Linked DNA regions of Drosophila melanogaster. The protein of the gene in region 2 interacts with the protein of the main gene of each other region in a pairwise test. Each region holds a gene or a part of one and is shown on either strand. Other genes may lie near its edges.

Region 1 (6,640 bases), on a different chromosome or scaffold from region 2:
TAATAGTTCATTAAGTCACGGACGGGAGATGTGGATGTGGAAGCCATGTGGAATCACGGCTACGGGGAACGTGAAGCCGTAAAACGTAAAATCGAACTTCATACCGCCTGCCGCCGAGGCAGGCAACTACAAGTGGCAGAATAATTGAGTGAACGGCAAGATAAACATTTCAATTTCGTTATTAAGTCATCAATTAGAGGAACCCAAATCCTACTGCAGGGTGATTCGGTTTTGATTTGAACTCCCGGGAGACAAATTGCCTGCCATAAAAATTTTGTAATTAAAGCGTTGCAATGGCACACAACTTCTTAGTTTGTGAGATTGCACAATATTAAACAATCTATTAGTACATATATTTTTTATTTTCAGCGTAAATATGTAGGTGGAATTTATTTAGATAACCCAATGAGGCATGTGGTTATTCTATGTTATATAAAAAATATACATTTTCTTAAGTACCTAACTAAAATTTCATTTATGATATTTCGAAATGAAAGTAAAAGTAGTAGATTTGAGCAATCTTCTCAGTTATTTACGGCAGTAATTTCGTGTATAAATTTATTTTAATAAATATATAAGAATTTCAAAAGAATTACAAGCTCAACATTTGCTATTATCCTCGGTCATGGAATAAGCTAGTTTATAAGAAACTCATTGTAGCAAATATCGCAGCGTTCGAGGGTTTTATGAGTGGCCTGTGGAGTTTCCAGAGACTCCACCAATTCTTTTGGCTTTATTTTATGGCCAAGAGTGCCTCCGTAATTCTTTCTCATAACCCAAGGAGAGGTACGTCGAGAACTTAGTAAGGAGGCTGTATAGGTGTGCCTGCCAGGACTGCAGGATCTTAGGGAGTGCAATGTGGCCGTTGATCCTCTCAAGATTTCCAGTCTGGCTAGCGCAGCCTCCAAATCGCAATCTTCATAGCCTTCCATAACAACTTGATCCGGTGACTGAGTAAAGGACTTTATACTAGGTGTATTCAGACTGCTCATTGGTCGGATTATCACATCTAAATTGCTGCTGTCTGAGGATTTAGCGCTGGAAGCCCTGGAAATCGGTGGTGATAACATCTTTGATTTGGAAACAACAGCTTTTGGAGTGTCTGTCTTTTTAGGTGATTGAGGTGCAGAGGATTGATTTTGATTTGTTGAAGTTTGAGTTGCTTCACTCGGACTGCGATCTCTGTGCGGTAATTGCTCCTTTGGAATATTGTTTGATTTGGTGAGATTCTGAGGTAGTTTCGGGGCTTCATCTGATTGCATAGGTAGAGAAGTTCTAAAAGGACTCGTTTGTGCTTTATAGGAATCAAATTCATGGTACGAATGCTCTCTTGAGCGTACCATTTTCTTTTCCATAGCTTGTGATTTCCGAGGACTTTTATCCTCCTTGAAAGAATCAAATTCTATGTAGGATGGCTCTCTAGATTTAACAGTCTCCTTTACTGAAGGTTTGTGTAGCCTAAAAGGATTGTGATTGGTTTCCAAAGACTTTAGTGGTACTACGGCCTTAGTAAAGGGCTTTTGTCCTTTTAAGGGCGTCCTTTGAGCTTTAATGGAATCAAACTCATTCAAAGATGGTTCTCTGGACCGTACTACATCCTTTGGTAAAGTGTTGGTAATCCTTAGTGGACTGCGAGGATCGAAATCCAAATAAGATGACTCTCGCGAAGAAATAATCCTGGAAGGCTGCTTCTTAGAAGACTTTTCCCTTGTCGGGGTTATGGGTTTTACTGCCCGGCGACTTCCAGTGCCTAGAAATTTCTCTCTTCCGGCTATCAAGGGTTGTTGAATAACTCCAGTGCTCATTCTGCGTCCGTATCCAGGTTCCTCCACCAAGGGAGCCGGCCTTCCTCTACCCCAACCGGAAACCCGTTCGGCAGGAGATCTTTGAATACCGGAACCAATGCGAGTGGCCAGGGAAAGACTGATGCGTTCGCGTTGGGGATTGAAATCGAAGGTCCTGGAAGTGGCAGGATTCGAGAGCCTGGAACTGGACCGGGATATACTACCCGCCTGTTCGGAACCCACGAATTTGGCAAACTCCCGTTGCCCTCTGCGAGTGGGGGCTGGAGTTATGTGGCCGCTGGACAAATCCGATTGGGAGGCACTCTGTGAGTTTTCACCGCTAAAATGACCATCGTAGTGATTCGGCTTATCCCTCAGACTGGTGTGATCCTGGTAAACGGAGAACTTGTTTTGACCGTGGGCGAAGCTTTCGTAGGGCTTAAACTTCTTGCTTTTGGCTAACTGATCTGCGAATTTCTCCCACTCGGTGGTGCTGGGTCTATGCTCCTCATCATTCGTTTTATTCGTTTTGACCAATTTGCGGCGCACTTTACGACTTCTGGGGGATTAGTATTCAGTGTATAAAAATTTAAGTGTGGATGGTCTTTTAGTGTATTAATTTTTTTTTTTAAATTTTTGGTGGTGTGTTTAGTTTTTTTTAGTATATAAGTGAGATTGTGTGTGTGTAAAAGTGGTATTTGCAAATCTTTAACGATCTCAAAACGATATAATTGTTAATGTATTTTAGGTTTTAATATTATGGTCATTAGTTCTGCAATTACGCACTTATTCGACAAACCGAATAAAATATTAATGAACGTATAAAATATATTTAAAATATTACCACAATACTACGCACATGACTTTGCTGTTGATGTTCTTGTTAGTTATATTTGCTGAGGTCGCAAGTAAACAAAGGCAGGGTATATGATATGTACATAGAAGTAGAGTAAGTTTATTTACAATTTACATACAAGTCAAGAAAAGAGAGAGGAGAAAGTATGTTGATTAGGCCATAATAAATGTAAATATCGGGATACTACGACGGAAACTACGAATCATAAGCGAACGTTGCAGGTACAAACTACGCGAAAACTTCAGGGTGCAGTGGCGCTACAGGTTACGGATTTGCGATGGGGCTACGGGGGTTACGGGTTAGCGATTACGGATTTGCGATGCTTCAGGTGCTCTCTAGGCTTACTTACTCCACGGCAGCGGAGGATTCGGTTGCTTCTGTTGCTGTAGCTGATGAAGGCTCGGCAGTCGAGGCAGGTGCATCCACTGCAGGCGCATCAGCAGCAGTTGCCTGCGAGACTTCGGCACTTATCAGAACCATCTCCTCCAGCGAGGGTTTCGGAGTCGGTGGGCTCTCCTCCTCGTTGGCCAGAGCCCGTTCGATCTCCGGCTCTGGAGTGGAGGTCTTCAGGCTATCTGTATCTTCCTGCATTTTGGGCGTCGGTGCTCGGGAACTGCTCATCGTTGCCTCTACCGGATCTGTTTTCGATTCGGAAACCTGGGGCTCTTCCAGGTGAAGACCCTCCATTACCTTGTGCTTGGCCTCGTCCAGAGCCTGAGTGCCCTCCTTGAAGGCGTTGCCCAGCTCAGTGGTAATTCCCGCCACCGCCGTGCCAACGGTCTCCTTGGCCGTGTCCAAAGTGGTGGTCAGTGTTTCAGAGGCGTCTGCAAGGAAAGCACGGGAATGAAAGCACTTTCAGTTGTCGATTCCGACAGGGGAGTGCTTATATATAAGTAGTATATAAATGTGCAGTAAGAAAATAATAAATGTAATAACACCACATTTGACTAGTTTAAAGAAAAAATTTTAATAATTTTTTAAACGAGACATGAAACGTGAATTGGTGTCGAATTTTCATTTAAAAAAACATTATATTCGAATAATTGAAGCCAATTTGCACAGTTTAGTCCGCATTTAATAATAGTACTTTCCCTCAGTGCACATGTAAGTATAATATTTTTAAGTCAATGTTTTTGCTCTAATTCGTTGACGTCTGGTCACGCAACCAAGTCGTTTTTCTTCATATGCGTTAAATAAATGTATAAAAATATGGTCGGGTGATGGCAATGGAGCCAGCTTTCACTTGCGACCCTCTGAAAGGCGGCCAAATGGCGAAAAATCAGGCCAAAAAAGGCTCCGCGGCACGCATTGCGCTGGCCAATTGTCCTTTATTACGTGGCTTGTTATTATAATAATGTGAAGTACGACCAAATTTATTACATACATTGCGGCTGGATGTATCGAATTTCTTTTTGGCATTAAGTGGGAATTTACTAGATTGTTGGTGGCCGGTAATTAGATGGATTTAATATTGATTTGGGCCAGGGGTCAAGGACTTTAGTTTATCGAAGTAGGAGTAGTTGCTCAATGCCATCCATCATTGTTGAACTACTAGTAGTTGTAGTAGTATGAGTAGCACATTTAGTGCCAACTAAAAATAATCCAATGCAATTCTAGAAACCTTAACATCAAATAATTGACTTTAGATCTAAGACTGTCCTTCGCCGAAAATTAAGTATCCGCTCGAAATATCAAGTATACGCCGACTGCCAGCTTGCAACTGCCCTTCGACCGCACACTCCTAAATGTCATCTGCTGGCCAACACTTAAACTAATGGCCAGCACGGATTGGTAACACACACACACACACACACACACACACACACACACTAAAGCACAAGCACACACACCTTCCACGACGGCCTCGCCCTTCTGTTTGACATGGCTGGCGGCTTTCAGCATTTCGCTGCCCGCCGTTGCAACCATGGGAGTGCTGCTGGCACAGCCCATGACTTCTTCTCAATTCGAGCCAGACAATCGCGGAACCATGCCGATCGGAGCGGGAATCGATGTGGATTGCTTTAGCAACAGCCGAGGATTTATTTATATCGAATATGAATATGATTATGAATTGGGTATAAGAAATACGCCCGCCTTTGGTCACGAACTCAACGCAACTGAGCACTGACCCAAAACATTCGCTGCTAAAGTGAAGGGTCAGTTCGGCACTCGACCACCGCCGACAATCCCCATTCACATCCCTACCATTGCCATTTACTGGGCACGCAACAGGACCGGACCGTTCTGAGCTGGACTGGTCAACCGGACCCATGGAGCACTTGGAGCCCCACAGTTTGCATGTGCGTTTGCACTTCAAGTGAAGTGAAATTGCTGAGGTCATGCGCGTTGGGCGCACACTTACCATAGTCATAGTTAAGGTAGTTATAGGCCAAAAGCTAAAAGGGTTCTAGGTCTGCAACAAAATAAGGTGGGGCACCGACGAGCGAGAGCTTAGACCAGCGAGTACCTGTTACTGAGATGAATTATACAAAATTTAGTTCAGATGTTGACCAATCAGTGTAATCAGTTTGCTTGAACACATGTATATATTTATTTACTGAACTATATATAAGATGGTTTATCTAACATATTTAGGATATAATCATAGAGCTTCAATATTTAGTTCAATGTTCAGTCCCATTTAGGGCTGCCTAAATATAACATACTTAAAGGTTATATGTGTAATCGAATGTTTACCGATCCTGAGCATCACTTAATGGCTGGCATACCCTGGTAGCCTATGAGTACCCGTCACCAAAGTGAAAACACAACAAGGGAAAGTGAAGAACAAGGCTTCAGATACGAAAATCTGTGTGTGTGTGTGTGTGTGTGTGTGTGTGTGTGTGTGTGTGTGTGTGTGTGTGTGTGTGTGTGTGTGAGGGGGTAGCGTGTCGGGATACGCCCAGTTCGCCCGATAGGTGGCGTGCATTCGCTTGCTAACATTCCTGACGTGGGCTTGTGTGTTTGTCTGTTGGTCAATGAAGGCTCCACACGGTTATTATTTTTAGAAACGTTGCACGATGTCCAATTGTTGCTCTAATTTCCATATGAGTTTTTGTCCGTGCCCATGAATGAAGCGAAATATCCGCTTGGGTTGACAGTTCCAATCAGATAAGAACTATGCAATCGATTCGGCATATTCTGTCCTATGCAAATCGCTCGATTGCGCTAGATTTCACTGTGGCCCACACCACCGCACAGAGATGATCGTCGAGGGGCCCTTCGAAAAGATTGATTTTTGATTTATTTTGGCCAAACACTTTTTTGGACAATTTTTTTTTTTTTTTTTGCAGCAATCGATTGGCTCTTGTGGCGCTGAATGCCTATTTCTGCCGTTCGGCGATTTATGTCAGTCAAGCAGTGACAGCGCTTTTCATGAGCCAATAAAGTTGTCCATGTCGCTTTGTCATATTCATATATCATGGCCGTACACCCGGCGACTTATGTCACATTCACATGGCCCAAGAAACTGGAGTATCGAGCAGAGCCTGCGCATAAACGAGGCCTAAGTGCGCGATCGAGAGACGTCGTCCGTGATGGTGACGGTGACAAAACACAATTTGGCCAGGCCAAACAAACAGTCAGACAGACGGAGGGACAGATAGACAGACCTATAACATACTTGTGTACAAACAAACCAGCTAAAAAAGTCGCATATAAATCAGCACACGCAGCTGGTTCATTAGACTCTCCACTTCGGGCTCTTGGCACTGCCATTTGGCTTGACATTAATTACATAAGCTAAGCGGCGCTTAATAATGCGCTCAACAATAGAGCAAAAGTGCTCGAGACCCAGTCGACCAATCTTGTGATGTAATGGCCTCCCCCATGCGAAAGTTTCACCTCTTAACACTCCGCCAATATCTTGAGCTTAGATGGGCAATTTGTTTATTGATGGTCCTCTTTAAAAATCTATGAAATTATGTGTACTTAATACTTAAATAAATACTAATACTTAATACTTAAATAATTTCATACCTTGTATAAGCGCGTTATTTTT
Region 2 (4,527 bases):
TGACCCATATATGTCAGAATTTGAACGGTAGGCGAACCAGCGAATTGGTGACAGAAGCCCAAATGATTCGATATGGATCGAGATCTAGGCGGATTTTCACAATTTATAACGATAGAAAACGTATTAAGTTTGAATATCCTATGACGGTTCTTAAAACTTTAAGGTACGCATAAATACATAAATGGCACATGTAAATATCATAAGGGATTTAGTATGAACTGAAACCGTATTTGAATATTGATGCGCCTGCCATGCATTTTACTTAGCTGCACTTCACTTGCATAACATCACGTCTTCTGAGCTCTGGATGCACAACTTTCTTTGCGGACGTGCCATCCATGCCTCCCATTCGTCATTACCCCATTTTTTAGTCCCCCCCCCCCTCCCAAAAAAAAAAAAACCATTTCAACTGGCCTAGTTAAATCAATAAACATTTAAAGGGTTAAATCCATTATACATTAACAATTTAAGTTAGTTAAGCCATCAAAATGTTTGCCAATAACATATATATCCGCTATATCGACCCTAATGCATGCGATTGTAGCGTTGCGGACGATGGCGCCTTCGTTGACGGGGACCAAACATCTTTTCTTCAGCGAGCTGAAGAAGATGCGGTCCAATTTCTTGTTTACAGATCTTAAGAAAATCGACCACTTCCGTCACGAGCTTGTAGTTTGCCATGGTAAAGAAGCTGATGACCTCGCAGTTACGGTTATACGACAGGCATCCCGTTCTGCTCATGCGTTGAACATACTTATCAATGTTGTCCGGGAAATCATAATTGATCACATAACGAATGCCTGGCACATCCAAGCAGTTCGATGTCATTTGCGTGGCCACAATGATATTGTAGGCGCCAGTGCCAAAATCATGGATTATTCCTTGATTTTCTTGGGCAGTGCGTCCACCATGGATGCCCTCGCAGGGTACACAATTCCGGATCAAATCCACCAGTTCTTCCACGACCTTTTGGCGCTTCACATAGATCACCACCTTACCGGGAATATCGCTTGTATCGTAAATAGCAGTCAGCTCCTTCATAAGGCGTTCTACTTTCGATAGCCCATTGACTACCTCCACCCGCTGGCGGATGTTTTGTAATCGCACGCCTATATTGTTTATTTCACCCACGCGAATTGCGGTGTATTGGCCCAAAAACTTGTTGGCCATCCGTTTCAGATTAGATGACCACGACGTGCTGCTGACGATCAATTGGGCATGCGGACGTAGACGGCATAGTAGTCGGCAAATGTTACCCTCTAAGCCCACATCAATCATGCGATCAATATTGTCCAGAACCAAATATGTGCAGCGTTCCAGTTCTACAACATGTTTTTTGTTATCAATCATTTGAAGCAGGCGACCAGCAGAGGCCACCAGCAGATCGCATTCGGCATGACCTTGCCATTGACTGTTGCCCAAGAGGCAATGCGTCCTAAGCTCGAGAGGATTTGTATAGTACAATACCTCTCTTTGGACCATGACAGCAGCCTCACGGCAGTCCACCAATATCAAGACAATCGGTCCTTTCTTGTGCTGCATTAATCCGCGCTGATTGTGCATCTTCATTATGCCCGGCAATAGATAGCCCAATGTTTTACCCGTACCCTTTCCAGAAATCATCACAATATTTTTGCCCTCCTTGGCAATCGACCATGTTTGTGCCTGAATGGGCGTGGGCCCATCATAGCCTTGATCCTCCAGTTGCTGTAATATGGTTGCATTGAATCCGCTGCGCTCGAAACTCAGCACAGGCTCCGGAAGGTTTCGCATATTCCAGCTGGTCAAGGTGATATTGTGGCGTTTCCGATAATTAGCGGCATTATTATACACCTCATCCATCGGCTGCTTCCAGGTATTGTAATTACTAGGGCGGCTTGGGTTTTTGGATTGGTCCTGATAACACAAAGTATTCCGATGGGGACTGCGGCTTCTGGTGAAGGAGCGGCTAACCAAAATCTTTTGAATGGAGCTGCAACTCATGCTCCTCGATTGACTCTTCTTCCAGGGAGTGCGCATTCCGACCCTCCACGAATTGCGGCCGCGATTGGACGGACTTTTGGGTTCTGGACTCCCGTACGTCAGATCATTTTGGGTCTTCGAAGGACAAAAGCGCTTTTGCGGTAGACTGCTGCTCCTGCTTCTTGATTCTTTATTTTCACGAGAGGTTTTCACGGCCTTGAAAGAATTTGGCGATTGCCAAGTTTCATGAATGCGAAAAACAGCGCTTCGCATGCGTGGCCTCTCTCCCGTATCGCTACCGTGAGAACTTGATCCCGTAGTGGAATCCGAATCGGATGACGAGCCGGAATTGGAATCGGATGAACTCGATTCGGATCCGGAAGAATGAGCAGACTCAGAACTGGACCGCAAATGGGATTTTCCTCTAAACTTGCCATTACCCATGCTCCTGCTTTTCGACCGGGATTCGCGCGTAGACTTGGAAAATCCGCCAGCAGAATGCGGACCACTGAAACTCTCGCTCCTGATTTTGAAATTTGGTTTCTGTCCCTCAATTCCGTGTTGTATTGTGAAAAGCCTTTTCGTAACGAATTTGGAGGACAAGACAGAGCTTGAGGATTTTAAAGATCTGGACTGACCGCTTATGTCCGAAGCGCTGGAGCCCCAAATCGAAGACTTCGTACCCTTAAGGAACGGCTTTTTCTGAACCTTTTCTGCATCGGTTTCGTTGTCTTTCCAGTTTCCAATCACCAGTTTCTTAGCTTTCTCACACATTTTCTGCAGCACTTATTTGCGTTTGTTCACTTCCAATTTTTGCCAAGGCAATAAAAAAATCTCCTTACGAACACAGCGAAATGCCACGTGTTATGAAAAAAGTTGACAACTCTAAGCTTTGGTGTTGGTTAATTTTCAGTGTGTCCTCCTCTTAGTGTTGGTAAATTTAAATACATTTAAATTTAATGAAATAAAAAATTCCCATATGTGTTTGTTATTGTTCTTAATAAAATGTAATGTTATAAAATGTAATTTCTTATTAAGGGGCATGAACTGAGGTTTGAGTCCGTATTAATCTGGAAGATTAATAATTTAAGTGGACTTTTTATGGTCTTCAATATGCTTAATTTCCCGAGTGCAGACTGTTCCAGTTCCGGACTGAGATACGGATACGGGTTTGTACTCCGCTGGCGGAAGTTCAGAGCGCTCTTACTCAATCGAAAGACCCACATTGGGTGGGTTATCTGCCGTATAATTGGCGAGTGTGAGTGTCTGAATGTTTGGTCAATTAAAAGCATTCGCTGGCTTTTTTATCAAATTCAATTAGCCGACGACGAAAGCAAAACAAAATCCAAAAAAAAAAAAACCAAAAACGCCGCAACAAAGTTGCTCAATGCGGAATTCAGAGGAGGGTTTTACCATCTCTCTAAATAAAAATCATAAAACTAAAAAACAAAAAATGAATAAATAATATAAAGTACACATGCATGCATATGCGAGGAGTTCTAACTATAGAAAATCCGTATAATTAACTAGATAAATTGGCAAGCAATTGGCTGTACAGCTCGTTAAGGCTAATGATCGTCGGACAGCTAACGATCTCCTTTGGCTAATTGGCCAACAGTACGGAACACCCCTCCGCGACCCGGTTTTCAGACCACCCTTCATTTAATGTGGCCATCAAGTCGTAATTACGCTCGTTGTTGAAACGATGAAGACATCAAATTGCATTGCATCGCCTTTAGAATTGCTGGCCATTCAAAGAGATTTGTTTTGGTTTAAGATCCCAATCAGTCCGGAGTTTCAATTAAAGTTCCATTAACGCTTCGCGACACACACAATTATCAAAAAATTATATTTATGCTTATGACATTTCCGGCAGCTCCCCAGTTACCCAGCCCCTCCACACTTTCCACCAGTGCAAAATTTATGCTCCCCTGTCTGAGTCATTTCATTTATTTCGAGACAGCGCAGACAGAAGATCAAAGCGACTTCATGATTATGCTGCACGCATATCCATCACCATATCGAGCTCGAGCACTCGCCTCGGGGTGGAGTTGTCTATGGATCCATGGATGCACTCGAGGATTGGGGGGGGGGGGGCATGTGTGTGCAGGTGCTGGTGCAGGTGAGGCTGTGGCTGTGCCTGTCGCTGCTGCTGCTGGGATCGCTGTGTGTGGCTATAGTGGTTGGGGTAGTGGCTAATCGGCACTAAGCGTACAAAAACACGTGACCAGTTACCAAGTTGGTGGATTACTTATAAAAATAGTTAGTCTCAAGCTAAAATCGATGAAAAATGCTCCACAAAATGTGCCATATAAAGTTTTAAAGTTTTTTTTTTTTTAAATATCCTTATTTACTGCCATTTAAGGTCACTCTATACAGTATTACTAAACCATAACGACATTGCCCAACACTAACTTACTTTATTTAATTTGTGCGCCGACAACACATTTCTATGCAACTAATGTTGCACTGGGCATAAATTCTCGGCTATGTTCCCCGAAGAAAATCCACACACACACATCACTGGGAAGAAACGAGAGGAGATCCACGCAGCAGGAGACCCCC

The links.
Region 1: the proteins of CG14443 (region 2) and CG14837 interact in a two-hybrid assay, tested with the Drosophila melanogaster proteins (one large-scale study listed by BioGRID).

Annotation. Positions count from the first base shown.
Region 1 is NT_037436.4:7,555,233-7,561,872, forward strand, and holds CG14837 (uncharacterized protein), read right to left. Parts: upstream 4,806-6,640; 5' UTR 4,591-4,805; coding exon 4,491-4,590; intron 3,465-4,490; coding exon 2,990-3,464; intron 2,344-2,989; coding exon 636-2,343; 3' UTR 548-635; downstream 1-547.
Region 2 is NC_004354.4:6,632,168-6,636,694, reverse strand, and holds CG14443 (uncharacterized protein), read right to left. Parts: upstream 2,737-4,527; coding exon 526-2,736; downstream 1-525. UniProt on the Drosophila melanogaster protein: Probable ATP-binding RNA helicase.